7 linked regions of the Macaca mulatta genome follow. The protein of the gene in region 1 purifies or fractionates together with the protein of each later gene. This does not show direct contact. Links are inferred from orthologs where the notes say so. Each region holds a gene or a part of one and is shown in the gene's direction. Other genes may lie near its edges.

The links.
Region 2: the proteins of PTGES3 (region 1) and AAR2 purify together in Homo sapiens (affinity purification with mass spectrometry; 3 studies listed by BioGRID and IntAct, with this or other methods). This does not show direct contact. The link is inferred for Macaca mulatta from reciprocal best matches to the Homo sapiens genes PTGES3 and AAR2.
Region 3: the proteins of PTGES3 (region 1) and SMYD2 purify together in Homo sapiens (affinity purification with mass spectrometry; 3 studies listed by BioGRID and IntAct, with this or other methods). This does not show direct contact. The link is inferred for Macaca mulatta from reciprocal best matches to the Homo sapiens genes PTGES3 and SMYD2.
Region 4: the proteins of PTGES3 (region 1) and FKBP4 purify together in Homo sapiens (affinity purification with mass spectrometry; 3 studies listed by BioGRID and IntAct, with this or other methods). This does not show direct contact. The link is inferred for Macaca mulatta from reciprocal best matches to the Homo sapiens genes PTGES3 and FKBP4.
Region 5: the proteins of PTGES3 (region 1) and PPP5C purify together in Homo sapiens (affinity purification with mass spectrometry; 5 studies listed by BioGRID and IntAct, with this or other methods). This does not show direct contact. The link is inferred for Macaca mulatta from reciprocal best matches to the Homo sapiens genes PTGES3 and PPP5C.
Region 6: the proteins of PTGES3 (region 1) and DYRK1B purify together in Homo sapiens (affinity purification with mass spectrometry; 3 studies listed by BioGRID and IntAct, with this or other methods). This does not show direct contact. The link is inferred for Macaca mulatta from reciprocal best matches to the Homo sapiens genes PTGES3 and DYRK1B.
Region 7: the proteins of PTGES3 (region 1) and EGLN1 purify together in Homo sapiens (affinity purification with mass spectrometry; 5 studies listed by BioGRID and IntAct, with this or other methods). This does not show direct contact. The link is inferred for Macaca mulatta from reciprocal best matches to the Homo sapiens genes PTGES3 and EGLN1.

Annotation. Positions count from the first base shown.
Region 1 is NC_133416.1:63,846,373-63,849,872, reverse strand, and holds part of PTGES3 (prostaglandin E synthase 3), read left to right. Parts: intron 1-2,521; coding exon 2,522-2,635; intron 2,636-2,772; coding exon 2,773-2,842; intron 2,843-3,500. UniProt on the Homo sapiens protein: Cytosolic prostaglandin synthase that catalyzes the oxidoreduction of prostaglandin endoperoxide H2 (PGH2) to prostaglandin E2 (PGE2).
Region 2 is NC_133415.1:89,072,301-89,076,559, forward strand, and holds the start of AAR2 (protein AAR2 homolog), read left to right. Parts: upstream 1-1,459; 5' UTR 1,460-2,038; intron 2,039-4,259. UniProt on the Homo sapiens protein: Component of the U5 snRNP complex that is required for spliceosome assembly and for pre-mRNA splicing.
Region 3 is NC_133406.1:71,982,662-71,986,881, forward strand, and holds the start of SMYD2 (N-lysine methyltransferase SMYD2), read left to right. Parts: upstream 1-1,420; 5' UTR 1,421-1,481; coding exon 1,482-1,654; intron 1,655-4,220. UniProt on the Homo sapiens protein: Protein-lysine N-methyltransferase that methylates both histones and non-histone proteins, including p53/TP53 and RB1. Specifically trimethylates histone H3 'Lys-4' (H3K4me3) in vivo. The activity requires interaction with HSP90alpha.
Region 4 is NC_133416.1:3,691,458-3,695,547, forward strand, and holds the start of FKBP4 (peptidyl-prolyl cis-trans isomerase FKBP4), read left to right. Parts: upstream 1-1,290; 5' UTR 1,291-1,373; coding exon 1,374-1,478; intron 1,479-3,377; coding exon 3,378-3,522; intron 3,523-3,963; coding exon 3,964-4,090. UniProt on the Homo sapiens protein: Immunophilin protein with PPIase and co-chaperone activities. Component of steroid receptors heterocomplexes through interaction with heat-shock protein 90 (HSP90).
Region 5 is NC_133424.1:58,852,597-58,856,096, forward strand, and holds part of PPP5C (serine/threonine-protein phosphatase 5), read left to right. Parts: intron 1-105; coding exon 106-347; intron 348-1,757; exon of another isoform or gene 1,758-3,328; intron 3,329-3,500. UniProt on the Homo sapiens protein: Serine/threonine-protein phosphatase that dephosphorylates a myriad of proteins involved in different signaling pathways including the kinases CSNK1E, ASK1/MAP3K5, PRKDC and RAF1, the nuclear receptors NR3C1, PPARG, ESR1 and ESR2, SMAD proteins and TAU/MAPT.
Region 6 is NC_133424.1:50,957,804-50,960,954, reverse strand, and holds part of DYRK1B (dual specificity tyrosine-phosphorylation-regulated kinase 1B), read left to right. Parts: intron 1-383; coding exon 384-503; intron 504-603; coding exon 604-792; intron 793-1,141; coding exon 1,142-1,289; intron 1,290-2,566; coding exon 2,567-2,853; intron 2,854-3,151.
Region 7 is NC_133406.1:17,609,915-17,614,008, forward strand, and holds the start of EGLN1 (egl nine homolog 1), read left to right. Parts: upstream 1-1,294; 5' UTR 1,295-1,723; coding exon 1,724-2,614; intron 2,615-4,094. UniProt on the Homo sapiens protein: Cellular oxygen sensor that catalyzes, under normoxic conditions, the post-translational formation of 4-hydroxyproline in hypoxia-inducible factor (HIF) alpha proteins.

The DNA of each region.
Region 1 (3,500 bases):
GGGATTACAGGCGCCCGCCACCACGCCCAGCTAATTTTTTGTATTTTTAGTAGAGATAGGGTTTCATCGTGTTTGCCAGGCTGGTCTCGAACTCCTGACCTTAGGTGATCCACCCACCTTGGCCTCCCAAAGTGCTGGGGATTACAGGCGTGAGCCACCGCACTCGACCCTGTTTGTAGTTTTAATGTGTTAGCCAACTTGTATAAAGGGTCAGCCAGTAAATATTAGGCTTTGCAGGCCACAAATACCTCTCTCATTCACATTCTTCTTTTTTTTGGTCTCATTCTGTTGCCTAGGCTGGAGTGCAGTGGTGTAATCTTGGCTCATTGCAATCTCTGCCTCCCGGGTTTGTTTTTTTTGTTTTGTTTTGTTTTTTAATATTTAAAAAATGTAGGAATCATTTTTGGCTCATGGCCTAACCACAGGTTTTGATAATTTAAATTTGTTTTATTATCTGGGACGTGATTATAAGCTTGCTAAGGCTTTTTTCCTTTTTGAGACAGAGTCTCGCTCTGTCACCCAGACTGGAGTGCAGTGGTGTGATCTTGGCTCACTGCAACCTCCACCTCCTGACTTCAGCTGATTGGCCTGCCTCAGCCTCCCAAATAGCTGGGACTACAGGCGCATGCGACCACACCCCGCTAATTTTCGTATTTTTAGTAGAGACGGGGTTTCACCATATTGGCCAGGCTGGTCTTGAACTCCTGACCTCGTGATCCACCTGCCTCTGCCTCCGAAAGTGCTGGGATTACAGGCATGAGCCACCGTGCTGTGGCCCCCCCCCCCTTTTTTCTTTTTCTTTTTTTTTGAGACAGAATTTCTTTTTTTTTTTTTTTTGAGACGGAGTCTCGCTCTGCCGCCCAGGCTGGAGTGCAGTGGCCGGATCTCAGCTCACTGCAGGCTCCGCCTCCCGGGTTCACGCAATTCTCCTGCCTCAGCCTCCCCAGTAGCTGGGACTACAGGCGCCCGCCACCTCGCCCGGCTAGTTTTTTTTTTTTGTATTTTTTAGTAGAGACGGGGTTTCACCGTGTCAGCCAGGATGGTCTCGATCTCGTGATCCGCCCGCCTCGGCCTCCCAAAGTGCTGGGATTACAGGCTTGAGCCACCGCGCCCGGCCGACAGAATTTTACTCTTGTTGCCCAGGCTGGAATGCAATGGCACGATCTTAGCTCACTGAAACCCCTCCACTTCCCAGGTTCAAGCGATTCTCCTGACTCAGCCTCTTAAGCTGAGATTACAGGCATGCACCACCACACCCGGCTAATTTTTTTTTTTGAGATGGAGTCTCGCTCTGCCGCCCAGGCTGTAGTGCAGTAGTTTGATTTCGGCTCCCTGCAAGCTCTGCCTCCCGGGTTCACACCTTTCTCCTGCCTCAGCCTCCCACGTAGCTGCGACTTAAGGCGCTCACCGCCACGCCCGGCTACTTTTTTATGATTTTAGTAGAGACGGGGTTTCTCCATGTTGGTGAGGCTGGTCTTGAATTCTCGACCTCAGCCTGCTAAGGCTTTTATAAGAAAGTATCACACACTGGGTGGCTTAAACAGCAGAAATTTATTTCCTCACATTTCCAGGAGGCTGAAAATCCAAGGCGAAGGTGTCAGCAGTCCTTTCCTTGTTTCCTTGGTTTGCAGATAGCTATTTTCTTTCTTCCCTCTGTGTTAATCTCTTCGTATAGAAGAACAACAGTCATTGGATTAGGGTCTACCCTAAGACCTCATATTTACTTAATTGTAACTTAAAGATGCTATTTCCAAATATAATCACATTCTTAAGGTGTACTGGGGGTTAGGACTTCAATGTATTAATTTTGAGGAAACTGATAAAATTCTAGATTGCTTAATTTGAGGAAAGGAGATTCATTCTCCTGGTTTTAGTGAACTTAAAAAGTAAAGCTCTGATGTACCAGTTTTTTTTGGTGTTGTTTTGGGACAAGAGTCTCTGTTGCCCAGTTGGGAATGCAGTGGCATGATCTCAGCTCACTGCAACCTCCACCTCCCGGATTCAAGTTATTCTTGTGCCTCAGTCCCAACCCTCAAGTATCTGGGACTACAGGCCGCATAACCATGCCCAGCTAATTTTATTTATTTATTTATTTATTTATTTATTTTGTATTTTTAGTAGAGTCGGAGTTTTGCTATGCTGGCCAGGCTGGTCTCTAGCTCTCCTGGCCTCAAGTGATCCACCTGCCTTGGCCTCCCAAAGTGCTGGGATTACAGGTGTGAGCCACTGCACCCAGCCAAGTAACATAATTTTTGATAGGACTAGATAAATGGCTAACACTACTAAGCATTGTTTGGTTTTTGAATCCTTCCTACTATGAAATTGGAATCATTCTGAAACTAAATCTTGTTAGACCCTTAGGTTTTAACTTGGAATGTAGCTGTTAGGGTAAAAATGTAGTTTTTGTTTAAAATTGTAATGAACTGCCCTGAAATAATGCTATAATAGTGTCGAAGGTTAGTATGTAAATGTTTAATTAATGAATTCCAGCTTGACTTTCCCCACTTTAATCCTTTTGTAGGCAGCCTGCTTCTGCAAAGTGGTACGATCGAAGGGACTATGTCTTCATTGAATTTTGTGTTGAAGACAGTAAGGATGTTAATGTAAATTTTGAAAAATCCAAACTTACATTCAGGTAAGTTAAGCTTTTTATCCAGTGATGTAAAATAGTAATTCACACAACTGAATAACTTGGCTTGTCTTTTCGTTGAAGATATTATTAATCTTTGTCTCTTTGAAGAGGCTTAATTCTTTCTTTATTATTTTATACAGTTGTCTCGGAGGAAGTGATAATTTTAAGCATTTAAATGAAATTGATCTTTTTCACTGTATTGATCCAAATGTAAGTAGTCTTGATGCTTTAATCCAGATTTAAGTTGTGAGGAAGCAGACATACCAAGTATTCTTTTTAGCAATAAGCATTAGCTCTGTTTTTCTTAACAGTGAGATAGACTAGGTATATTTACATTTTGTAGAATATTTCCTCCAAAATTGGTTTCTGCATACTTTTTGTTTTTGCTATTACTGTTTGGGCTTAGAGAAGTATCCTTGAGGCTTGTTTTATTTTTTGTTTGTTTTGTTTGTTTTTTGTTTTTTGAGAAGGAGTCTCACTCTATCGCCCAGGCTGGAGTGCAGTGGCCAGATCTCAGCTCACTGCAAGCTCCGCTTCCCGGGTTTATGCCATTCTCCTGCCTCAGCCTCCCTAGTAGCTGGGACTACAGGCGCCCGCCACCTCACCCGGCTAGTTTTTTTGTATTTTTTAGTAGAGACGGGGTTTCACCGTGTTAGCCAGGATGGTCTCGATCTCCTGACCTTGTGATCCGCCCGTCTCGGCCTCCTAAAGTGCTGGGATTACAGGCTTGAGCCACCGCTCCGGCCGTTTGTTTTGTTTTTTGTTTGTTTTTGTTTTTTGAGACTACTGCAGTGCAATGGTGCAATCCTGGCTCACTGTAACCTCTGCCTCCTAGGTTCAAGGGATTTTCCTGCCTCAGCCTCTGGAG
Region 2 (4,259 bases), on another chromosome or scaffold:
CTGGGAATACACATACCTTACTAGGGTTAGTGCAAGGATTAGAAATACTCAAGTGGGCTGGGTGCGGTGGCTCACGCCTGTAATCCCAATACTTTGAGAGGCCGAGGTGGGTGGATCACCTGAGGTCAGGAGTTCAAAACCAGCCTGGCCAACAAGGTGAAACCTGGTCTCTACTAAAAATACAAAAATTAGCTGGGCATACTGGTGTGCACCTGTAATCCCAGCTACTAGGGAGGCTGAGGCAGGAGAATTGCTTGAACCTGGGAGGCAGAAGTTGCAGTGAGCTGAGAATGTACCACTGTGCTCCAGCCTGGGCAACAAGAGCAAGACTTTATCGCAAAACAAAAACAAAAAAAGAAGGCAGTCCAGGCGTGGTGGCTCACCCCTGTAATCCCAGCACTTTGGGAGGCTGAGGCAGTGGATCACCTGAGGTCAGGAGGTCGAGACCAGCCTGGCCAACATGGTGAAACCTTGTTTCTACTAAAAATAAAATAATTAGCTGGGCATAGTGGCAGGCGCCTGTAATCGGGAGGCTGAGGCAGGAGAATGGCTTGAACCCAGGAGGCAGAGGTTGCAGTGAGCCGAGATCGCGCCATTGCACTCCAGCCTGGGTGACAGAGTGAGACTGTGACTCAAAGAAAAAAAAAAAGAAAAGAAAGAAAGACCCAAGTTGCCTGCCCTAAAATCACATAAGCCAATTCTTTGCAATAAATCACTTAATATAGATCTCCTACTGGCTCTGCATCTTTGGTGGAACCCTGATTAATAGTGCAGGGTTAGACTCACAAATAGAAGTGATTTATTAATACCAAATTATCATCATTATTAATTAAATGCATAATATATGTACTCAGCTGAGCTTTTGTGCCTGGCTTTGTGCTCGGTTCCAGGGAAACAGTGAGGAACAAGACAGGCAGCTTCTTCCCTCGAGCGTTGATAGCCTGACTAAGACGTTAGGACTTGGCCTGCCGGAAGGACGCAGGGTCAGAGGGACTGAGGTGGTGACTGCTGCTCCTGCAGCAGCAGAGGCTGACGCTGGTTCTCTCTGGGCTGGGTTTCTGAGGCTCTCCCCGAGGGCTGAGTGTGACTGGAAGCTGAGACATTGTGACCCGGATAGAGACTGGCTGACAAAGACAGTGACCGAGCGCCTGACTGGCTACTACTGAATAGTAGCCATTGGTACAAGTCTTGGTTATGCTTTAGTGACCATGACTGCTTGCGCCCAAAGTAAGATGGCTGGTGTCTGTGTTTCTGGAAGGGGATATAAAATGCAAAGGTTAATGAAAGTTGTTCACAGTTCAGAAGCTAAAACGAGAAACTAAGAATAGCAAAAGGCAACATTGCATCCGGCGGAACCTGCAGGTACGGGCCATTCTTCCCGCGACCCAGGGCTCGGCCGGACCGCTTTCCCCGTGGCTCCAGTCAGACGCCAAAGCGGGAGAACTTCCGGTGCGTTTCCGCGGTACCAGAACGTGGGGCGAGGCGGTGAGTGTGGCCTCCTGGCCTCTTTTTCCTTTCCTGATTCCCTGTGTATGTGTGGCCGGGCCGCCCCTCTTCTCGGCTCAGAGTCACGGAGTGCCTTGAACTAGGCCCACCTCGCTGGGGCGGCTGGTTCTCTGCTTGTGGGACGCTGGTGTCTCTGGAGGCCCTTCCTGAGAAGCCGTTACCAGGGCTTCCCGGGTCACACGGAGTTACTTCGCGTTTTTCTTAACTTTAGAGCCTGGGGGCCGGAGACCCTGATTGCACTCGACGTGGCTCTGCCCTACTCTCTGCGTGACTTCCAGTAAGGTCTTTCCCCGAATTGAGCTTTTGTTTCTCGTTTACCAAATGGATATCATACTTGTATTAAATAAATATTTACTAGGCGTCGAATCTGTGCTAGGGATACAGCAGGACTCAAGTCTTGTGGCGATGACAGCCCACAATCAAACATCCAAAACTGCAGTGGTGATCATTGAAACGGAATGGTACAAGGCACCCCACGGTATATCACAGGAGACCTGATCTAGCCCCAGGTCAAGGAACCTTTACTGAGGAGGTGAATATTGAGTTGCGATCAGAAAAAAGGATTTGACCGAGTGGGGAGGGAAGAGTTTTCTATCTGAAGAGAGAGAGCCTCCAATTTCAGGGTCTGAAAGAGGCCGTTGTGGCTGGAACAGAGAGCTTGTGGGGGACCATGATGTGAAACAAGCTAAAGGGGTTGCCAGGGGTCAGACCGTGCAGGCTTTGTAGGTAATAGGAAGAATTTTGGTTTTTCAAGAACCAGGTGGGAAACCACTCAGAAGCTGACATGGGTGGTGATGTGATTAGATTGGTATTTTGAAAAGGTTACTGCTCTTGAGTGGATAATGGATTGAGGAGCAAGCACTCTGGGTGAGAGACGATGGTAGCTTGCATTAGGGAGGTGGTGGAGAGAAGTGGATGGATGTGACTTTAGGTGTTCCAGGACTGTGAGGAACTCACAGAGCTGTCAGTGACAGAGGTTGGTAGACTGCAGAGTTCTATGCATATTTAATAAACCTTTTCCTAGCATCTCCTCTGTGCCAGGCCCTGTGCCAGCTGCTGGAGATATAGTGAATAGAATTACAGACTGGTGGAATTAGAATGAAAGAAATGTCATTATCAAGGAGGAGCACACAGATGTCACAAGGCAAAATGGCTAATTGATGAGCAGTTATTCTAAATGGAATATCTGTTCATTCAGCAAACATGAAATACTTTCTGAATTCAGGATTACAAATAGGAAGATGATACGAATTATTATTATTATTATTATTATTATTATTATTTTGAGATGGAATCTCGCTGTGTCCTCCAGGCTGGAGTGCAGTGGTGTGATCTTGGCTCACTGCAACCTCCGCTTCCCAGGTTCAAGCGCTTCTTCTGTCTCAGCCTGTCAAGTAGCTGAGACTACAGGCACGCACCACCATGCGCAGCTAATTTTTTTGTATTTTTAGTAGAGACAGGGTTTCACCATATTGGCCAGGCTGGTCTCAAACTCCTGACCTCGTTGTCTGTCCACCTCGGCCTCCCAATGTGCTGGGATTACAGGCGTGAGCCACCGTGCCCTGCCTGTTGATATGAATTATTTAGAGCAGTGTCTTTCAAACCTTTATGACTGTGACCTACAGTAACAAATACATTTTATGACACAACCAAGTGTACACACAAAGCTCCAGAAAACAGTACTTAGCTTTACTACTCTTGATGTATTGTGATATTTCAAAATTTCTGTTATTTTCATTTAAAAAATAATGCTGTTGAGACCTTTATATTGATTTCCTAATCCACAAATGGGTTGTGACTTGCAGTTTGGTGAAACGCAAAGTGTGGATTCAGGGTAAGAGTCACTTGCGGTGGTTCTGAGGTAACGATGTTAAAATGTGCTCTTATTTTTGGAAAAGGATTGGTCTTCCTTTCTGCACTGTTTTATTTTGTTTTATTTAAAGTAAAAAGAGTAAACAGGGCCAGGCATGGTGGCTCACACCTGTAATCTCAGCACTTTGGGAGGCTGAGGCAGGCGGATCACTTGAGTTCAGGAGTTCCCGATAAGCCTGGGCAACATGGTGAAATCCTCTCTCTACTAAAAGTACCAAACTTAGCCAGGCATGGTGGCACATACCTGTAGTCTCAGCTACTTGGGAGGCTGAGGCACAAGAATCGCTTGAACCTGGGAGGTGGAGGATATAGTGAGCCGAGATCATGCCACTGCACTCCAACCGGGGTGACAAAGCAAGACCCTGTCTCGGAAAAAAAAAAAAAAAAAGTAAACAGAATTAAACAGGCAGCTGGTTTTTCTGTGTGTGAAATTTTGGCATCTTGGCTAGATTGGAATTGCCTAGAGGGCAGTGACTGTCTTAATCTGTGATGTTTCTTTGGGGGCCTGGCAAAGATCCTGGCACAATGCAGGCACTCAGTGAGTATTTGTTAAATTAATCAGGTAGGTATCTTTGGACTAGAAGGTTAGATAATGGTTTGTTTACATTTGTTTGTGTTGGTACCATTCTTGCCGATATCCCAGAGGCAATGTCTGGGATATTTAGAAGTAGGTAAAATAAGTGTACTAAGCTCTTTCTCTTCTGGCCTGCTTTCTCTTCCTAGGCCAGCTTTACCACCTGAATTCATTCTGGATGAATGGTCCAGAGCCACCACTGATTGTGGGCTCTTTGGGAAGTTGTTTCACTCTCTGGAATTTAGGTTTTCTATGAGTGAAAGAAGAGGGGAGATTTGTGGTTGAAAAGCTCTCTAGACCTCGAACA
Region 3 (4,220 bases), on another chromosome or scaffold:
GTTTTCTTTTGAGACAAGGTCTTGCTCTGTCACCCAGGCTGGAGTATGATGGAGTCATCACAGCTCACTGCAGCCTTGACTTCCCAGGCTCAAGCAATCCTCCTACCTCAGCACCACTTGAGAGGTGGTTAATTTCCCATAGAGATGGGGTCTTTATGTTGCCCAAGCTGGTCTCCAACTCTCCAATTCCTGGGCTCAAGTGATCCTCCCACCTTGGCCTCCCACAGCGTTGGGATTACAGGGCTGAGTCACTACACCCAGCTGAGAAAGCTGTTTTACTGAAATGCCAAAAATTCCACTGATTTTACATCTCCAATCATATTCATCCTTTCCCCTTGCTAAACCAGTCCTGAACTTACAGAGGTAACTGTTTGAGGTTCTAGTTTGAAGTAGTATTTTCTGCTAAATGATCTCGTCACAATTTTAGTCTTTACTGCATGTACGTCAATTCCAGTCTTTACATAATCATGTGGAACACGGATTATATTTTCCTTTCTCATATGAAAAGTAATAGCGTGCATGTGTACAGGATTTACGTTTCAGGCTTTGTGGGCTTTAAATCCTCTGACTCCTAACCCAAGTGACTTTTCTAAGATCACAGTTGGTGGGTGGTCAAGCATATTAAAACCACTGCAAACTCTAGCGCAGTGTCCTGGACACTGGCCACAGCATCGCATTATCCCCCAACAGCCTAAATTCCTTGAAGGCAAGGTTATCTCTGGCTTCCTCTGCATCGTTCGCAGCATGCAGAGACTCGGTGAGCTGGGCTGGCCAGTGCATTTCCTCTTCCGTCAATGTAATTCTACTAGAGGAGCAGAGGGCAAACTACGTTCCCATTAAAGCCACAAGGTTTAAAAACCTCTAACCTTGGAAAAGTACACGTCAACCCTCTGCACAGCAAAATTCTCTACTGTGGTTTCCCCTCTGCCGCTTTCTCCTTGGCGTTCCCGATCACTGCCTTCAGGGGTCTTTACAAGGGCAAGTGAACGTAGGGTTTGGGGGCCGGCTTCGCCCCCTTCTATTTACCGGGTGCTGGTGGTCATCCTTCGGGCCAGGCTGACTGTCTAGGGGTGGCCCTGGGATACCTGCTCCGCGCAGGTGACCCCCCTCCCACCGAGGAGGGCGCGTCCCGCTTGCTCCGTGGAGACGCCGCGGAGGCGCACACGCCTCACGCCCTCCTCGCAGAAGCCACAGGGGCTGCGGCTCTTTGTCGCGGCCACACCGGAAACGGCCCGGAGCGCGCGCGGGGCGGCCGCCGAGGGTCCCGGCGCAGGGCGGGGCCGCCGGGCCCGTCCCCCTCCCCGCGGGGGCGCGCGAGGCCCGGGCGGGGCCGCCGTCCCTTCCGGGGAGCAGGGAGCCGCCGCCGTGTCCGCCGGGCGGCTCCCACCCCGCCCCCCGCAGCTCTGGGTGACGCGTCTCCAATAACAGCTCGCCAGGAGCCGCAGCTCGGGCACAGCCGGCGCCCGCGCCCCGCCGCCACCATGAGGGCCGAGGGCCTCGGCGGCCTGGAGCGCTTCTGCAGCCCGGGCAAGGGCCGGGGGCTGCGGGCTCTGCAGCCCTTCCAGGTGGGGGACTTGCTGTTCTCCTGCCCGGCCTATGCCTACGTGCTCACGGTCAACGAGCGGGGCAACCACTGCGAGTACTGCTTCGCCAGGTAGGGCGGCGGCGGCGGGCGGGAGCCGGGGGCGCCGAGCGGGAGGCTTGGATCGCGGCGCCAGGAAGTGCGTGCGGCTCGCGGGGTCCTAGCGCCGGCCTCTAGGGCGGGGTGGGAGGCGGGGAGGGGAGGAGGCCCCGCGCTGAAGCCTCACGCCGGGCACCACGTGCGAGAGGAAACAGGACCGGTGCCCACTGCACGCCCTGCGCTGCACGTTTTCAGTTGCTCACGCAGGATGCGCAAACTCGGGAGTGCAGGTTCCTGCCTTCAAATGTGAGCTCCGAGCCAGGCTTGTTCCAAGCCTGGGCACTCACTGCCCTCCCGGTGCATTGGCAGTGGAGCCCCAAATTTGGGCAGCCACGGGCTGTCACCTTTAACTTATACTTCCTGCGGTGTATGCTGCTCCCCACAGGCCAGCCCTGCTTCAAATTGGCTGTTTCTTCCAAGGAATTTAATGACTTAGTATATGTCTTGTAAAGTACGTTTACGTGTTAAAGTACGCTTACATGGGTGTTTGGAGGGACGCCAGTGAGCACTGACCACACGCCCTGGATTCTGAGGCGCTGCAACGATGAGTTGCAGTGTCCAGTTTTGGTTTGGAAATAGGAAGACATGGTCGCAGTAAGGGATTGGGCAAGATGTGTGGTTGCTAACGGTATTTAATTGCAAGATACCATATGTATATATGTGCCTGTGTTTGTATATATGATGCATATACATTGGCACACACCAACACATATAATTATATCCTCAACTCTTATGAGAGTTTCAGAGCTGAAAGGCACATCAGAAATCACCAATTCGATCCTGTTTTTCACTTAATAGATGAGAAAACTAAAGCCCAGAGAGAAAGTGGGGTTACCTTTATCCATTCACACCAGTAGTGAAGGGAGTGAAATCTGGCCTCATTCACTTCTGCCTGTTTCTCACTGGTTAGGTGCTCAGTAAATTGACTAAGGCAGGAGGCATGGCTTTGGGGTTAAGTTTATATCAGGCCTTCCAGTACTCTGAGTAGAGACCGTGTTTTGCTTTCTTTGAACCTCAGTTTCTTCATCTTTGAAATGGAGATTCCTGGGCTGGATTAAGCTGACCTGCAGTCCTGCAGGGACCTTTTGAGTACAGGTCTCAGGTCCAGCATACTCAATCTCTCAGACCTGTGTGCCTTATTCTACAATAAGACGTAGCAAAAGAAGGGACAAAGGCTAAATATTGTAGTAATCTTGCCCAGACTCCCTGCCAGAACTGTCTTCCGCTTGGGGGGACCTGGAAAGGAACTAGACACGGAATCATGCCGTGGGCAGCTTAAGGGCTGTATGTGATGTGGCTCTTTGAATTGGTGAGCCAAGAGCTAAAGGGTCATGGCACCACTTTGCAACGTTTGAGTGAAGTGAGCATTGGGTTTTCCCAAAGTTAAAAAGGCTGCTGTGACTGGTCCCTTGATCTTCTGAGCCTTGCTGTGGCTCGGAGTCTGCAGCAGCGTGGGTGTCTGCAGTGGCAGGAGCAAAGCAGGTCAGGCAGCACCGAAGGAGCCTCCATCAGGGATCCTGGCAATTCCTGGAAGCCATCACCTAAGACCATGGATGCCAGGCACATAGTAGGTGCTTACTTTATATGGGTAGTTGCCGTTCCTGGCCCCCAGTGAATGAAAGATCAAATCCCTCTGGGTTTAGAAGGGATTAGAAGAACTGAGAGATGCTTCTGTTTAGCCGTAAGTCTCCTAATTGTTTCTACTACACATACTCCCAACCTTAGAACATTAGTGGATAGTGAGATGCAACTTCACAAGCATTCAGCCTGGATTATTCTGCCATATGTGACAGTTTGCTGCCTTTTTTGTTACTGCATTTTTCTGATTGACATTTATTAGTGTTATTCACTGTTGCCTTGGGTCCCTCACCAGGGCTGCAACTTGCAATGGCGTGTTATTACGACTTGCAAACCCCTTCTCTGTTTGATTTCCCTGAACTTCTGTCAATACCCATAGTTTATTTCCTTTCTGTTTCCCCAAAGAATTTTTTGAAATCAATTAAAATAATACAGAAGAAATGACAGCCATGATACTTACGCAATTAGAAATATCTGTGTACCCTACTTTATGATTTCTATGAAATCTGAATCGTTTAGTATTAGTGGTTAGATCATCTGATAGATTCAGCATCAGTTTCTCTGTCAACAATTCGTATATGACCTAGGACAAATCAGTCTGTCCAGATGTATGAGAGGAACGTGTGTTTTCCTCCATAGGGCCTCAAAGTATTGGAGTAGAATTCTGCAAATGTTCATACATACAGGTCAAAATCTGCTGCCTGCCTCAGCCCCACACACCCAAAAGAAAGCTACCCCTTATCCTTTCTTTTGCCGGAAGTTTAACGTAAACAGTATTGCTTAAGATAAATGAACGACGCAAGAATTTCCATGTCATATTAATTGTATCAGGATCTAACTTTTTTTTGAAGGAAAGAAAAGTGATTTCTTTAGGTAGGAATAAGTATATTCTACAAATTGAGAAATAATGGAAAATGTCTTAAGTCTCAACAGAATGGGATTCTTATGGTCAGAGCAATTC
Region 4 (4,090 bases), about 60 Mb from region 1:
TGGGCAACATGGCGAAACTAAAATACAAAAATTAGTGGGTGCGGTGGTGGACACCTGTCGTCCCAGCTACAGAGAGCCAAGATCGCACCACTGCACTGCAACCTGGGAGACAGAGTGAGACCCTGTCTCAAAAAAAAAAAAAAAAAAAAAAAAGAAAGAAAGAAAAAAAGTCAGCCAAGACTTGGAAAAGTTAATTTAAAAAAGGAAAATTCATGCAGCCAGTAACTATTGGACACCACTCACCAGGCACTATGCTAAACTGGGGTTAGGTGCTGACCAAAACCAGGCCCCTCTCTAGATGGCTTTGTAGGTCCCACGACCATGGCTTAGGTGACACGGGCAGTTGCGCGCTCCACAGGCTGTCGAAAACCACTCGGGAAACAAACATTGAGAGGAAAAGACTCCTTCTGGAAAACCGAGTGACTTTTCTCGTGAGGGGCACCCACGTGTGTAAGCATTCGCAGAAACGGCAGCTGTATTACCGCCGGGAAGGGTCCCCTGAGTGCGCGCCCCGTCTGAGTTCCGAGCTGGGCGGGCCATGCCTCGCCAACCCCGCTGCTCGCAGCATCTGCAGGCGCCGGGGTAGGCACCGCTGCGTGACCCGGGCTTCCCGGCTCTGGGGAAATCGAGGTCGCTTTCCCCGGCTCTCGGCAGCGGGGCAGCGTTGTCCGCTCACTCCCCCCTCCCCGGACGCCCTCACCCTCTTTCCCCCAGGTAGGGAAGGGTCTACGCGGGTCATAGCGGAGAGACCACGCCGCCCGTGGTGACGGCCCGTCCCGGGGAGGGGGCGCCGCCACTGCCATCCCGCCGCCAGCGCTCCCCACACATCGCCGCAGGCGCAGCGGACTGGTGGAGTGATGTCGGGAGATCGATCGAGAAGAATCTGGAAGAATCCGGTTAGACAGGGAAGCGGGCGGGGATGGGAGGGAGGGAGGAAGGGCCAGGGGAGGCCGCTGGGGAGACTCCCCAGAGTCCGAGGGTCCCCGGAGAAGGGGGAGGGGGCAGGCAGCCAGAAGGAGGCAAGAACCAGAAAAAAAAAGAAAAAAGATTCTGAAGCGCCCGCAGCACTCAGCCCGAACCGGCTCAGTCCCGCCGTCTCTAGAAAGTTCTGCACCCCGCCCCCTCTGTCCGCGCTCCCGCTCCTCCCAGCCCCTCCCTCGCGGCGGGGCGGGACCAATCGCTCCCCGAGCGGCTCCTGACCCACCTACCCCCGCTCCCGCGCCGCGTGCAGAGGTGCTCGAGCCTCCTCGCGGTCCGCAGTCAGTGCCGCCGCGCCCGGCCTCCCGCACGCGCCGCAGGTAGCGCCCCCGCCAGCGGCCCAGGGTGCGCTCGCGCCGGTGCCAGCTCCCGGAGAAACGGCGCGCCGCGCGGAGATGACAGCCGAGGAGATGAAGGCGGCCGAGAGCGGGGCGCAGTCGGCGCCGCTGCCCATTGAGGGAGTGGACATCAGCCCCAAACAGGACGAAGGCGTGCTGAAGGTGAGGGGCGGCGGGGCCTGCGGGGGCGGCCGAACCTGGGGCCCTGCGGGCCGCCCTTCCGCCGAGCCCGGAGCCCGCGGCCGGGCACGGGTCGAGGCGGCCGCCTCTGCAGCCTCGCGGCCGTCCTGCCGGGGGCCGGTGGCATCGCCGTCCCGTACCGGGCTGCGTCGTTTGAGGCACCGAGGCCGACCATGCGCTCAGCAGGAGGGCGGCCTAGGTGCGCGGGCCGAGGCCCCAGGCTCCCCAGTCCCCAGCGCCCGGGCCGGGGCAGGGGGTCCGGATTGCAGTGCCCACCCCGGCGCGCGCGGGGCGGCGGAGAGGGGCGGGGCGACCGCCGCGGGCACGCGAGCCGCAGCCCGGGGCCAGGCCGGGCCTCCCGCGCCACGCCGCCCCCGACCCCCGCGGCCCCAGCGGAGCTGCCAGCCGCGGGGGCCGCCTCGTTAGTGGCGGTGCCAGGGCTCGCCCACCCGGGCGGTGGAACACGGGCCAGGACGGGGAGCGACTCCCCACAGTGCTTTCCTGGCCCGGCGGCCTTTGTGCGACGCAGGCGCGACAGGGTTCCGGCGCCCTCCCGGGGTCCCCTGGCGACGCCGGGACCCAGCGTGGTCCCCACTCGCCGCGCGCGGCGCCCCCTCCCTCGGCCCCGGGGAGGCCGGGCGCGGGGCATGCCGGGAGCTGTAGTCCCCTCCCCCCCGCCGCCTCCCCGAGCCGGGACTGCGGGGTGTGGGGCGGAGAGGAGGCGCTCTGCTGTGGAGCCTGCCGCCGAGTGACCGCTCGACTACAAATAGCCTGGGGAGCTGTGGGGAGGGCATCTTGACCTGGGCCAGGACAACCTGCCATGGGTCGGAGCAGGTTCCGGGGAGAGTCCGGAGAGGAATTCCCAGCCCGCGTCTTATGCCTTCTCCCCATCCGCTGCTCCTCCTCATCCTGGCTTCCCACCGCTGAGCTCCGCGTGTGTGGCACCCGCCTCAGGGGGCCTTTAGCTGGTCCAGAAGTGCATCTGTCTTTGCACCAGATTATTGGGGACCTCGAGCGTCTGCTCCAGCGGCTCTCCTGTGGCATGTGGCTTCCCCTTCTCGCTCCAGCGTCCTGCTGTTTTCTATGAGATTGTTATTCCGGGAAGGGTCATTTCCCCTTTGATCCGCCATTCCTTCCCTTTTACCTTTCTACTCCTCCAAGACCCTGTCCATTCTCCATGGAAGCTTTCCCTTAGAGGGTAACCACACACCTACCAGGTGGCGCTAAAGGAACCTGTGCGTTGCTGGGAAATAACTCCAGCCCTGGTCTTAAACAGCCTACCAGTGAGGAATACTCCGCTCCCAAGTCAGAGTTTAAGGTCCCATGGAGAGCCTCTGGGTTCACTTATAACCTGGTTTCTTCCTTACCTGTTTTGAACTGTTTCTGTTCTCTTCACTCATACTCCTCTCGTTCTCCTGTCTCCAAACCAGACCTTAATCTGATGACCACTGGCATGAAGGAAGAAGGAGGAAGTGTGGCATAAATACTTCCCCCTTTGTCGATGATAATAATGATCTATTATTCAACCCTTTACTGGTCTAATCTTCCAACAAACTGTAGGAGATAGGGATTATCATCACTGCTTTACAAATAAGGTGTGGAGAATTTTTAAAACTTATCCATACAGCGGAAACTTGAACTCAAATCTCTCAGCCTTTTGTCTCCTTTTTCAAACCAAGTCTTGCTGTACCTGAAGAAAGACAGGGAGGTTAGTTGACTCCTAAGTCAAGTTGCTAGTAGCTGAATCTGGAGGGACAAGTAGGCAGAGGAGGATGAACCCAGAGAAGCCCCTTTATGTTCCCTCTGGAGGCTTGCAGGCAGTGTTGGTGCCCCTTTCGGCCCCAAACCCTGGGTTACTCACTTTCTCCCCCTTCCTCCCAGGTCATCAAGAGAGAGGGCACAGGTACAGAGATGCCCATGATTGGGGACCGAGTCTTTGTCCACTATACTGGCTGGCTATTAGATGGCACAAAGTTTGACTCCAGTCTGGATCGCAAGGACAAATTCTCCTTTGACCTGGGAAAAGGTAGGCGTGGTCAGTGGGCTGGTAGGATAGGTTCGAGGTGGACACAAGCTGTCACAAGCAGAAACCATTTTCTCAGGACCAAGCTCAGGGAGGAATGGTTTATCACAGTCTGTTAACTCTTTCGGTCACTCTTTTTTTTTCTACCGTTCTGTAACTATACTGATCTTTGTCTCCCCTTCTCCTCATCACCTCCCAACACCTTACTCCCCCTTCAAAGGTGGACTGTCTTGCATCTTAAACTCTTTTGTTCAGGGTCAGGTGATCTTTTACAGTTCTTAGACCTGGTAGCACTTAATGCAACCAGGTATCTCACCTTCTGGTCCCATTTCTAAAGGATGTTCAGCTTCCCCATGAGTGTGGTGCATTAACTCTTCAGAAGCACTGTTTGAGCCCAGAATCAGAACCCTGCTAAAGTGGTCCTGTTTGCCTCTGTACCTGCAGGGGAGGTCATCAAGGCTTGGGACATTGCCATAGCAACCATGAAGGTGGGGGAGGTGTGCCACATCACCTGCAAACCAGAATATGCCTACGGTTCAGCAGGCAGTCCTCCAAAGATTCCCCCCAGTGC
Region 5 (3,500 bases), on another chromosome or scaffold:
CTCAGCTTCCCCGTCTGTGAACAGGGAGACTGGGCGTCACCCAGCCCGGGGCCTGTCCTCGCGGGGTTGGAGCACTGCCTCATGCCTCTTCCTGCATCTCCGCAGCCAAGGACTATGAGAACGCCATCAAGTTCTACAGCCAGGCCATCGAGCTGAACCCCAGCAACGCCATCTACTATGGCAACCGCAGCCTGGCCTACCTGCGCACCGAGTGCTATGGCTACGCACTGGGAGATGCCACGCGGGCCATCGAGCTGGACAAGAAATACATCAAGGGTTATTACCGCCGGGCTGCCAGCAACATGGCACTGGGCAAGTTCCGGGCCGCGCTGCGAGACTACGAGACGGTGAGCTGGGGAGTGGGCCAGGCCTGGCACCTGAGCCAGGCGGATACCGAGGGCCAGGCTGGCGGGGATGGGTGTGAGGAGCCATTCACGCCTCTAGTCACCACTTAGCCAGCCAGCGAGTGCCTGTGGGGCCCTGGGCCCAGGCCACAGCTCTGCTCAGTCATCTCACACTTTGTGACCCTGGGCCAGTTACCCTGCCTCTCTGCACCTTCCTTTCCGCATCTGTGAAATGAGGAGAACGAGAGGATCAGCCTGAAGGGCAGCTGTGAGGAAAAGTGAGCTTCTGCTTTTCACATGAGTAGACCAGTACCCGGCGCAGGGTCGCGTCCTGTGATGGTTCACCTGATGGTGACTGTCATTGTTAGTGCCGGTGCTGGACAGGAGCCACACAGCCTCCCTTCTTCTGGTAGAGCTTGTCTTTCAGGGGCAGGCAGAAAACCCACCGCTGAATAGGTTAGCAAAATAATTGCAGATGAGGATCTGCACTTCGAAGGAAAGAGGAAGGGAAGTCGGGCGCGGTGGCTCACGACAGTAATCCCAGCACTTTGGGAGGCCAGAGTGGGAGGATTGCTTGAGCCCAGGAGTTTAAGACAAGCCTGGGCCACATGGGGAGGAGACCTCATCTCTACAAAAAATACAAAAATAAACCAAACGTGGTGGCACACACCTTTAGTCCCAGCTACTCAGGAGGCTGAGGCAAGAGGATCACTTGAGCCCAGGAGCTCAAGGCTGCAGTGAGCTGTGCTCTCACCACTGCACTCTAGCCTGGGGGACACAGTGAGACCCTGTCTCAAAAAAAAAAAAAAAAAAAGAAAAAACAGGAAGGGTGATAACGCTGCCAGGGACAGCAGGCGGGATGTGTGTGATATGCTGATGAGGGAGGGGACCTAGGGCACAGTGAGAATTCTCTAGTGCCCTCAGCCACCTGATGAAAATCCTGATGCGTGAGGCCCTGCAGAGCGAGCGCACACCTTCACACCAGGTATGCTCTGCACCTTCCTTCAGGGAGGCTGGCTGAATCATCGCAGCACCCTGGGACGTGGGAACTGGGATTACTCCCCTTGCACGGATGAGGAAACTGAGTCCCTAAGGGGTGAAGTCACCTGCCCATCTGGTTAGCGGCAGAGCTGGGATTTGAACCCAGGAGGTCTGGCCCTCAGGGCCTTGTCTCTCCCACCTCAGAGTTCGCTCCCTGAGATGGGGACGTGTGTTTGTCCTGCGCGTGGGGACGGTGCAGCAGGGGCTGTGTGTCTTGTGTGTCGAGAGGATTGTTATCCTGCCGCCACACACAGACACTTCACTCCCTCCTTCGGTTGCAGCCATCACACTTGGAGCTGCTTCTGTCATGTAGGGAGGGGCAACCAGGGAGCTGGGAGCCATGAGTCTGCAGTTGGTGTGGGGCTGAGAATCAGGAGTCTGCAGTCGGTGGAGCCAGCTCAGATGACTGGACCGGCTATTGGCCGCTGGGGTGGAGGGTGGACTTCAAGCCAGGTGAAGGCTTGAGCCAAACATGGGGCTAGGGGACACGTGTTAGGATGGGGGCAGAGATGTGGCGGGGGGTTAGGGTGACACCTAGAAGGGTTGGAGCAGGGACAGCAGAGCAGAGGCCTTCCCAACTTGGGCTCTCAAGCCATTCTTGACCAGGCCCCTCCCTCATTGTCTCTTGGTGTCCTAATCTAGAAAATGGTGACGGGAGGAGTGGCCACCTCTGGGTGGCAGTGGCTGTGATGACGTGGTTGAGTAAAGGTCACGAGCTGCAGGGCTCAGTAATGAGTAACCAAGAAGGACAGTCGGTGTTGGGTTGGGGCAGGGCTCCAGGTGAGAAGGGGGCCTGGGGAGACAGTGGGGCAGAAGAGAGGAGCCCCAAGGACAGGTTTCGGGCAGGGTCTTCGTCGCATGTGGGGCTGCAGGAGCGTCTTTCCCCAGGGTAAGGAGCAGGAGCTCTTTTCAAGGCTCTGGCCCAGTCTAGGGCCCAAGCCCGCATACTCCCTGAGGCTGGACTGGTTGGCTTCAGCCATCTTGTGGGTATGCCACGTCTGAGCTATGTCCCAGGCCTGGCAGATGGCAGGGAGGGTTGAGGGGGTGGGGAATTCAGAGCCTTTTACAGAACACCCAGCACCTAAATTGTCATGGCCCATTTCCCCATGGGGGCTCTCCCAGCAGCATTGGGGACCCCCACATGAGCCTGAGGGCTTACCTGTCATCAGGCCATCCACATGCCTGCAGGCCTCCAGCCCTGCTCCCTTCTGCACAATTCTTCAGGCTCCGTGTGCCCTGGGGCAGTTCATCTTCCCAAGACTAGACCTCCTGCTTGCCAGATGCTAGAGTTTCCTGCTGGACCAGGAGCTCGCCAGGGAAGCAGAGCAAACACGTGACCTTGACCTTGGGCAAGGAAGCTCCCCTTAGCCTGAGTTTCCTCAGCTGTCTGCTCACTCTGGGCCCAGCACTGCTGGGAGCCCTTTGTGCACCTGAATTCAGCCTGAATTCAGCCTGAAGCCTAGAGAGGGGATGTCCCTCCTCCAGGGTCACCCAGCAGGGAAGTGGCAGAGCTGAGACTTGAACCCCCAATCCATGCTTGTAACTGTTTCTGGGCCACAATCAGTTGAATAGCTTCAGCACTTTTGTCCTCGTCAAATAGAGAAAAGAAAACGGGTCATTGTTTGGAGCAAATGTGTATAAATATTGTTTTATGGAAATTACTTTTCATTTACACAAGTACAGATGAGTGTTGCGTATGATACAAAAATCCCTGTTTTACATGTGGGCTGCAGGCAGAGGGTCTGAGGTCACCAGTGCAGGGGCTAGAGGGGCAGGCTCTGGGCTCAGGATGCCTAGGTTCACAGCCAGCTCAGATTGGGTAGCAGCTGCATGGCTCCCAGTGCCTTTTTTCCCAGCCTCACTGTCCTCATCTGTTAAAGGAGGTGAGAATATAGAAATAACAATCAAAGAGTTTTTTCTTTCTTTGTTTTTTGTTTGAGGCAGTCTTGCTCTGTCGCCCAGGCTGGAGTGCAGTGGCACAAATCTTGGCTCACTGCAACCTCTGCCTCTTGGGTTCAGTGATCCTCCCAGTTCAGCCTCCCAAGTAGCTGGGGCTACAGGTGTGCGCCATCATGCCCAGGTAATTTTTGTAATTTTTGTGGAGATGGGGTTTCA
Region 6 (3,151 bases), on another chromosome or scaffold:
TGAGATAGAGGAACTTCAGAGGATACCCAGAATGGCTGGCTTCACAGTGAAGAATGGGGAGGAACAGAGCCCAGATTTTCCATATAATCTCTCCCACTGAGGTTCAGAAAGGAGTAAAGGTGAGGGGTGAAAGGTCAGGGTTCACTCATTCACATCACAGGTCTGAAAGAGTATCCATTGTGTGCCAGGCCCTGCTTTAGGCACTGGAGGTACAGTAAGAACAAGAGAAAGTCTCAGCCCTGGGGGAGTTTCTTTCCTAAATGGGTGGAACAAATACAGACAGCAACCAAATACATGATGCGCCAGCAGCCCTTATAGTTCTTCCTCTTGAGGTTGGAGGTAAAGGCCCGCCCTCAGTGCCCACCCCTCACCCTGCCCTGCAGGTATTGCCTGATGTGCGGCTACTGCCTCGGAGGCTGCCCCTGGCCTTCCGAGATGCAACCTCAGCCCCGCTGCGTAAGCTCTCTGTGGACCTCATCAAGACCTACAAGCACATCAATGAGGTGGGCAGGGGCTGGGGGATCCTGGGCTGGGTGCCGAGGGTCTTGGCTGCTGGCATGAGTCACTCACCAGTCCCCATCTCCTGGCTGGCTGGCTGGGCAGGTATACTATGCGAAGAAGAAGCGGCGGGCCCAGCAGGTGCCACCCCAGGATTCGAGCACCAAGAAGGAGAAGAAGGTCCTGAACCATGGTTATGATGACGACAACCATGACTACATCGTGCGCAGTGGCGAGCGCTGGCTGGAGCGCTATGAGATTGACTCGCTCATTGGCAAAGGCTCCTTTGGCCAGGTGTGGGACACCCCCCTCTCCCACCCTGATCCAAGGCCCCACTAACATTGACCACATACCCAGTGGTTCAGTGGCTTCAAATCCCATGCTGGGCCACTCACCCTAGCCCACTTAGTTTCCCTGTGCCTCAGTTGCCTTTTCTGTAAAACAGTTTAAATAACAAGACTCAACATAAGGTGGTATGTTATTTCACGTCCAGCGTTTCCACCAGTGCCTGACTAATGGTGTGCACTCAACTGCGAAGTATGCATAGTGTTCTCGGTGGGCCTCCTTGCCTGGAGGGAGGAGAATGGTGCCTGGCTCTGCCCTGCCCCCACCCCTTTCTTCTTGACATGCCCTGCCCCAACAGGTGGTGAAAGCCTATGACCATCAGACCCAGGAGCTTGTGGCCATCAAGATCATCAAGAACAAAAAGGCCTTCCTGAACCAGGCCCAGATTGAGCTGCGGCTGCTGGAGCTGATGAACCAGCATGACACCGAGATGAAGTACTACATAGGTGAGGCCCGGGACTGGCAGGGCTGTGGGCACCTGGGATAGTGGGAGCTGGAGCCAGTAGGGATGGGTCACACCCCTGCCCCACCCTCAGGAGGAGGCTGACATCTTCAGAGCAGGGTTTGATCTGTGCTTCACTGACATCAGTGATTCTCCTGCTGCTTTTATGGTTTTTGTCCTATTTACTTGGTAGTGGTCAGAGGTTACTGAGTGCTCACCAACGGCCAGGCTGTCTTGGAAGCACTTTATGTAAGTTAACTCACCACAGCCCATAAGGGGAAGGGCATTATTACCAACATCTTGAAGAAACAAAACCCGGGCTTCCATCCTAGTTTCTTCTTCAATAAAACAAACAAAAACAAACAAAAAAAATGGGCTGGGTGCGTGGCTCACGCCTGTAATCCCAGCACTTTGGGAGGCCGAGGTGGGTGGATCATGAGGTCAAGAGATGGAGACCATCCTGGCCAACATGGTGAAACCCTGTCTCTACTAAAAATATGAAAAAATTAGCTTGATGTGGTGGCACGCGCCTGTAGTCCCAGCTACTCGGGAGGCTGAGGCAGGAGAATCGCTTGAACCTTAGAGGCGGAGGTTGCAATGAGCCAAGACCATGCCACTGCACTCCAGCCTGGTGACAGAGCGAGACTCTATCTTAAAAAACAAACAAACAACCAAACAATAATAACAACAAAAACGAAGAAAGGAAAAAAGAAACCCAGGGATTCAAGTGCTGTCACTTGCATGAGGGGGCAGTTTGTACTAATTGAGCTATAATTTGATGAGGCCGTGGACTCCAGAGCTGTTACTCTTAACATCTGTGCCAGTCTTTCTCCTCCCTTAAACTGATTCCTCTTAATGGACATAAACATCACAACATAATCATAAACAGCAAGTGGATTTTAAAATGGTTTCGTTTGAAAGGAAAATGTACATCCTTAAAGTAGATGGAAAACTAGTGTCCTTTGCCACAAAAATGAATACAAGGGAGATGAAAGCAGTGTTACGAAATTAAAGGAGGAAGTGTAGAATGTGTTAGAGCTAGTAGTAACTAATGAAACTTTCTCGTTTGTTTAATTGGAGGGTTTGACAGAGACTTGGAAAGAGCGTTAACTTCCTGTGTGAACCTAGTTGTTTGTTAGATAAAAAGATCTTGACTAGCAGATGGTACCCGTGGGCACAGCACATGTGGCTAGTGATCAAAGAGTGTTGTATGACCCCAGGCCACCACCTGCCCTCTCTGAGCCATTTTTTCTCTGGCCCATTTTCTCCCCTCCCTCGCAGTGCACCTGAAGCGGCACTTCATGTTCCGGAACCACCTGTGCCTGGTGTTCGAGCTGCTGTCCTACAACCTGTATGACCTCCTGCGCAACACCCACTTCCGCGGCGTCTCGCTGAACCTGACCCGGAAGCTGGCGCAGCAGCTCTGCACGGCACTGCTCTTTCTGGCCACGCCTGAGCTCAGCATCATTCACTGCGACCTCAAGCCCGAAAACATCTTGCTCTGCAACCCCAAGCGCAGCGCCATCAAGATCGTGGACTTCGGCAGTTCCTGCCAGCTTGGCCAGAGGGTACGGGGCAGCCCGGTCCTGGGAGCAGGGCTAGTGGTTTGGGTGAGGCAGGGCCAACAGGAGGCTTAGGGGCGGGGCTTGGCTGGGATGGGATTATTAGGAACTGCTGGAAGTGAAGGATAGTGCTTGGGGTGGGGGTGTGGATGTACTGCCCACTAGGATGGGGAGGGTGAAGCCTGAGGGGGCAGGGCTCGTTTTGAAGCTGCCAGATGTGAACAGGGTAAAGTTGGGTTGGGTTTGAGCCCTGGGTGCTGCTTTACTAAGTTTTTGTGTTCTGTGTTCTTAAAGCCGGGGATGG
Region 7 (4,094 bases), on another chromosome or scaffold:
CATCCTCTCACTTGATTGGATCCCCAGAATGCCATTAAACGGATGCAGCAGAATTTTTTAACAGTTTTAAATTCTGTATATTTGATGAAGAGGTTTTATATTTTTGGATTCAAGCCTCTTTTTAAACTTCTACAATGTGGTTCACAAAAATTCCTCATATCCTGCTTTTGAAATATATATTGCAGCTTTCGTAAGTTGGGAAGGTTACATTTCAAGGACTAAAGTTACAGTATACTCAAGGGGTACACAAGCCTAGCACCGCATTTTCCAGAGTGTTCGATAAAGATTGTTAAACTCTAAATCACAGGCCTTTTAATTCTTAAGATAAATAGCAGCAGAAAGAAACATCTTTGGCTTATTTCTGGTAAGGTTTTTATGCTCTATAAAACAAAGAATTGTATTCATCCGCGCAGCACAGATTCTATTAAAAATAAATGTGAGAGTTGTTAATGTAGTACTGCTCATTTACCACCAAAATTCACTCTTCAGGAATAATTCCATCAGTTTAAATTGGATATTGGAATGAGCATTGATTACCTCATGTAATTTGGTAGCCCAAAATTTCTTCATGGAGTTTTGAAGTCACCGGGATTTCAAAGGTTTTAATGAGTTTTTAATTTTTTTAAAATCCTCAAATTTCATTACCTTTAAATTAGGTTGAAACGGGGCGCAAGAGATTGGATTAACACCACAGTAATACTTACTTTGTTCTTAACCATTTCAGGGCTTCTTGAAATAGAGACTGTATGGTGTAATGGAAAAAGCCTTGGAATCTGAGAGCCTGATTCCTGGATTCAGTCCCAGTTCTGCGTGACCTTGGACAAGTTACTTCACTTCTCTGAATTTCCGTTTCCTCCTCTGCAAAATGAGGATAGCAACAGCCACCTTGCAACCCTTACTGGAGCGCGCCCCGCACACCCCGCGCCTGCCTCGACGAAGAGCAGCCATGATTACGACGCCGCCGCCGCCGCTCCGCTACCCGCTTGCGGCTGGCGCCCTCCCCCAGCAGGTGTAGGCGCTGCCGCGCTGCCCCACGCCTTTCCGCAGCTCGCGGGCCTGCGCTTCGGCGTCCCCAAGGAGGCCGCTGCAGGCTGAGGTAGCGCACCGGCCTCTCGCGTCCCAGTCCCGCCCTGGGCGGAGGCAGTGCAGGCGACCCAGCTCGGAGGCCGAGGCCCGGCCCCACGGAGTGCGGAGGAGCGCAGGCGGCCCCCGCCCCTCGGCCCTCCCCCCCGGCCCTCCCTCCGCCCCCTCCGCCCTTGCGCGCCGCCCGCCCGGGTCGCCGCGGGGCCGTGGTGTACGTGCAGAGCGCGCAGAGCGAGTGGCGCCCGCATGCCCTACGCTCCTCCACAGCCTGGGCCGGGCCGCCGAGGAGGCTGAGGCGGCGGCGGCGGCGGCGGCGGAGAGGGCCGGTCTTGCGCTCCCCAGGCCCGCGCGCTTGAGTCCAGGTTGCCATTCGCCGCACAGGCCGCATTCTCTCAGCCCTCGGCAGCGATGAGGCGCTGAGGCGGCCGCCGGCGCTGCGCCGGAGACTAGGACTCGGAAGCGGCCGGGCCGAGGGCGCGGGGTACCGGCCTCCCTGAGGCGAGGGTAGTGGGTACATGGCGCAGTAACGGCCCCTATCTCTCTCCCCGCTCCCCAGCCTCGGGCGAGGCCGTCCGGCCGCCACCCCTCTTGCTCGGCCGCCGCCGCCGCCGCTGCCGCCGCCGCCGCCGCCGCCGCCGCCATGGCCAATGACAGCGGCGGGCCCGGCGGGCCGAGCCCGAGCGAGCGAGACCGGCAGTACTGCGAGCTGTGCGGGAAGATGGAGAACCTGCTGCGCTGCAGCCGCTGCCGCAGCTCCTTCTACTGCTGCAAGGAGCACCAGCGTCAGGACTGGAAGAAGCACAAGCTCGTGTGCCAGGGCAGCGAGAGCGCCCTCGGCCCCGGAGTGGGCCCGCACCAGCACTCCGGCCCCGCGCCGCCGGTTGCAGCGCCGCCGCCCAGGGCCGGGGCCCGGGAGCCCAGGAAGGCAGCGGCGCGCCGGGACAACGCCTCCGGGGACGCGGCCAAGGCAAAAGCAAAGGGCAAGCCCCCGGCCGACCCCGCGGCGGCCGCGTCGCCGTCTCGCGCGGCCCCGGGCGGCCAGGGCTCGGCGGTGGCTGCCGAGGCCGAGCCCGGGAAGGAGGAGCCGCCGGCCCGCTCATCGCTGTTCCAGGAGAAGGCGAACCTGTACCCCCCGAGCAACACGCCCGGGGATGCGCTGAGCCCCAGCGGCGGCCTGCGGCCCAACGGGCAGACGAAGCCCCTGCCGGCGCTGAAGCTGGCGCTCGAGTACATCGTGCCGTGCATGAACAAGCACGGCATCTGTGTGGTGGACGACTTCCTCGGCAAGGAGACCGGACAGCAGATCGGCGACGAGGTGCGCGCCCTGCACGACACCGGGAAGTTCACGGACGGGCAGCTGGTCAGCCAGAAGAGCGACTCGTCCAAGGATATCCGAGGCGATAAGATCACCTGGATCGAGGGCAAGGAGCCCGGCTGCGAAACCATTGGGCTGCTCATGAGCAGCATGGACGACCTGATCCGCCACTGTAACGGGAAGCTGGGCAGCTACAAAATCAATGGCCGGACGAAAGTAAGTGTGTGCTGCGGGTTTGTGCTGGACAGACCCTTCTCGGCGGGCAGTCCCTGCCTGCGACTGTAACCGCCTAGGCTGAGAAGCAGCATTCCTCTGTATAGAAGGGACTCGTTGTGTAGCACCCCGTAAGGAAGACGGACAGAATTTGTAGTGGCTGTTTATCTAGTTAGCCCCTTTGTGTCCGCTGTTTTCCACTTACTGCCCGTTCACAAACTTCTCCGGCTAATTGCATGGTTTTCTGGCTAAACGTAGGCTCTTTAACTTTGCTATTTTCTTTCTTCCATTTCACTGTTGGTCACAATTCAAACCTTAGTGGCGTTTTAGCCACCCAGTGAGGGGGTGTTAGAGTACCACCCAAACCAAGTCCTGGTTCTGCATGTGCCTTGTGTTTGCATACGCTCTTGAATTTCCTATGGTGTCTGAACCACTCATCACATTTTGATTGAGAGTCAAACGCTATGTGCAGTGAAGAGTTTGCCAGCTGACCACAAAAAGGTAAATTTAAAATACGCATTTAGTCGAAAGACTGTCTATATTCAGGAAGAGCTTGGCTACTCACCTCCCCCTCTTATAGCTCTTATCCCTTACCCTGTTCCTACTGTTTTGAAACCCTTTACAAAAAGGGGAAAGAAGTATTTCCGTTTTCAGACTTCTCAGTGTAGGTAGGCTACATTTTTAGCATAAGTTTCCTTTATTTGCTTTGTTAATGTAATCCTTCTGTTGAAAACTGTTTTGTAACTTCCTGGAAAAAAACAAAACAAAACAAACAAAAACAACCACAACATGGAATTGGAGCAGGAGGCTCGTTTTATCCTCCCAATTTGGTGAGTTTTTGTTTTCTCTTTACCGTTGCGGTTTTTCCTCCACAGATTCTTCACTTCCTACCTAGTCTATTCCTAGCTCTTTCCTCCTTCATGATAAACAGTAGACTCTTTCCTCCTTAATACTCTCTTGCAGCTTTTTTTCATTTTACTTCTCAGATCTTGATCTTTTCTGTGTATATAGCTGCTCCCAGGCCGCCCTCCTTCACCATCAGTCTCTGTCTGATTTTGTGAGTTTTGAGAGATTGACCTGGGAGAGCATCACAGTTGCATGTTTGTACACACACGCTGACTCTTAACCAGTGGTTCTTTTTTATGTGTGCGTCAGATCATTTACTTTGACAGTCATTACATGTGATTCTCAGGCTGCCGGAAAGGCTGAACATAGGCAGGGAGAAAGTTACAAACATGAAAATGTGGGGAAAAATACAATGTGAAATCTAATTTACGTATTGCCACTTCATTGCTGGGTGAAGGCACAAGTCTTGATTTCTTGTAGTCTTAAAAAGGAACAGTTGAATAATATTAAACTGGAAGGGAAAGGGGGATCTGATGAAATCTCAGCCTTGGTCTTTCACTAGATTTGCGTTGATATTTTTAAGAAAGAACGTTGTCATGGATCACATCTGAACATAAAGTCCCGAGCTCCAGAGCAG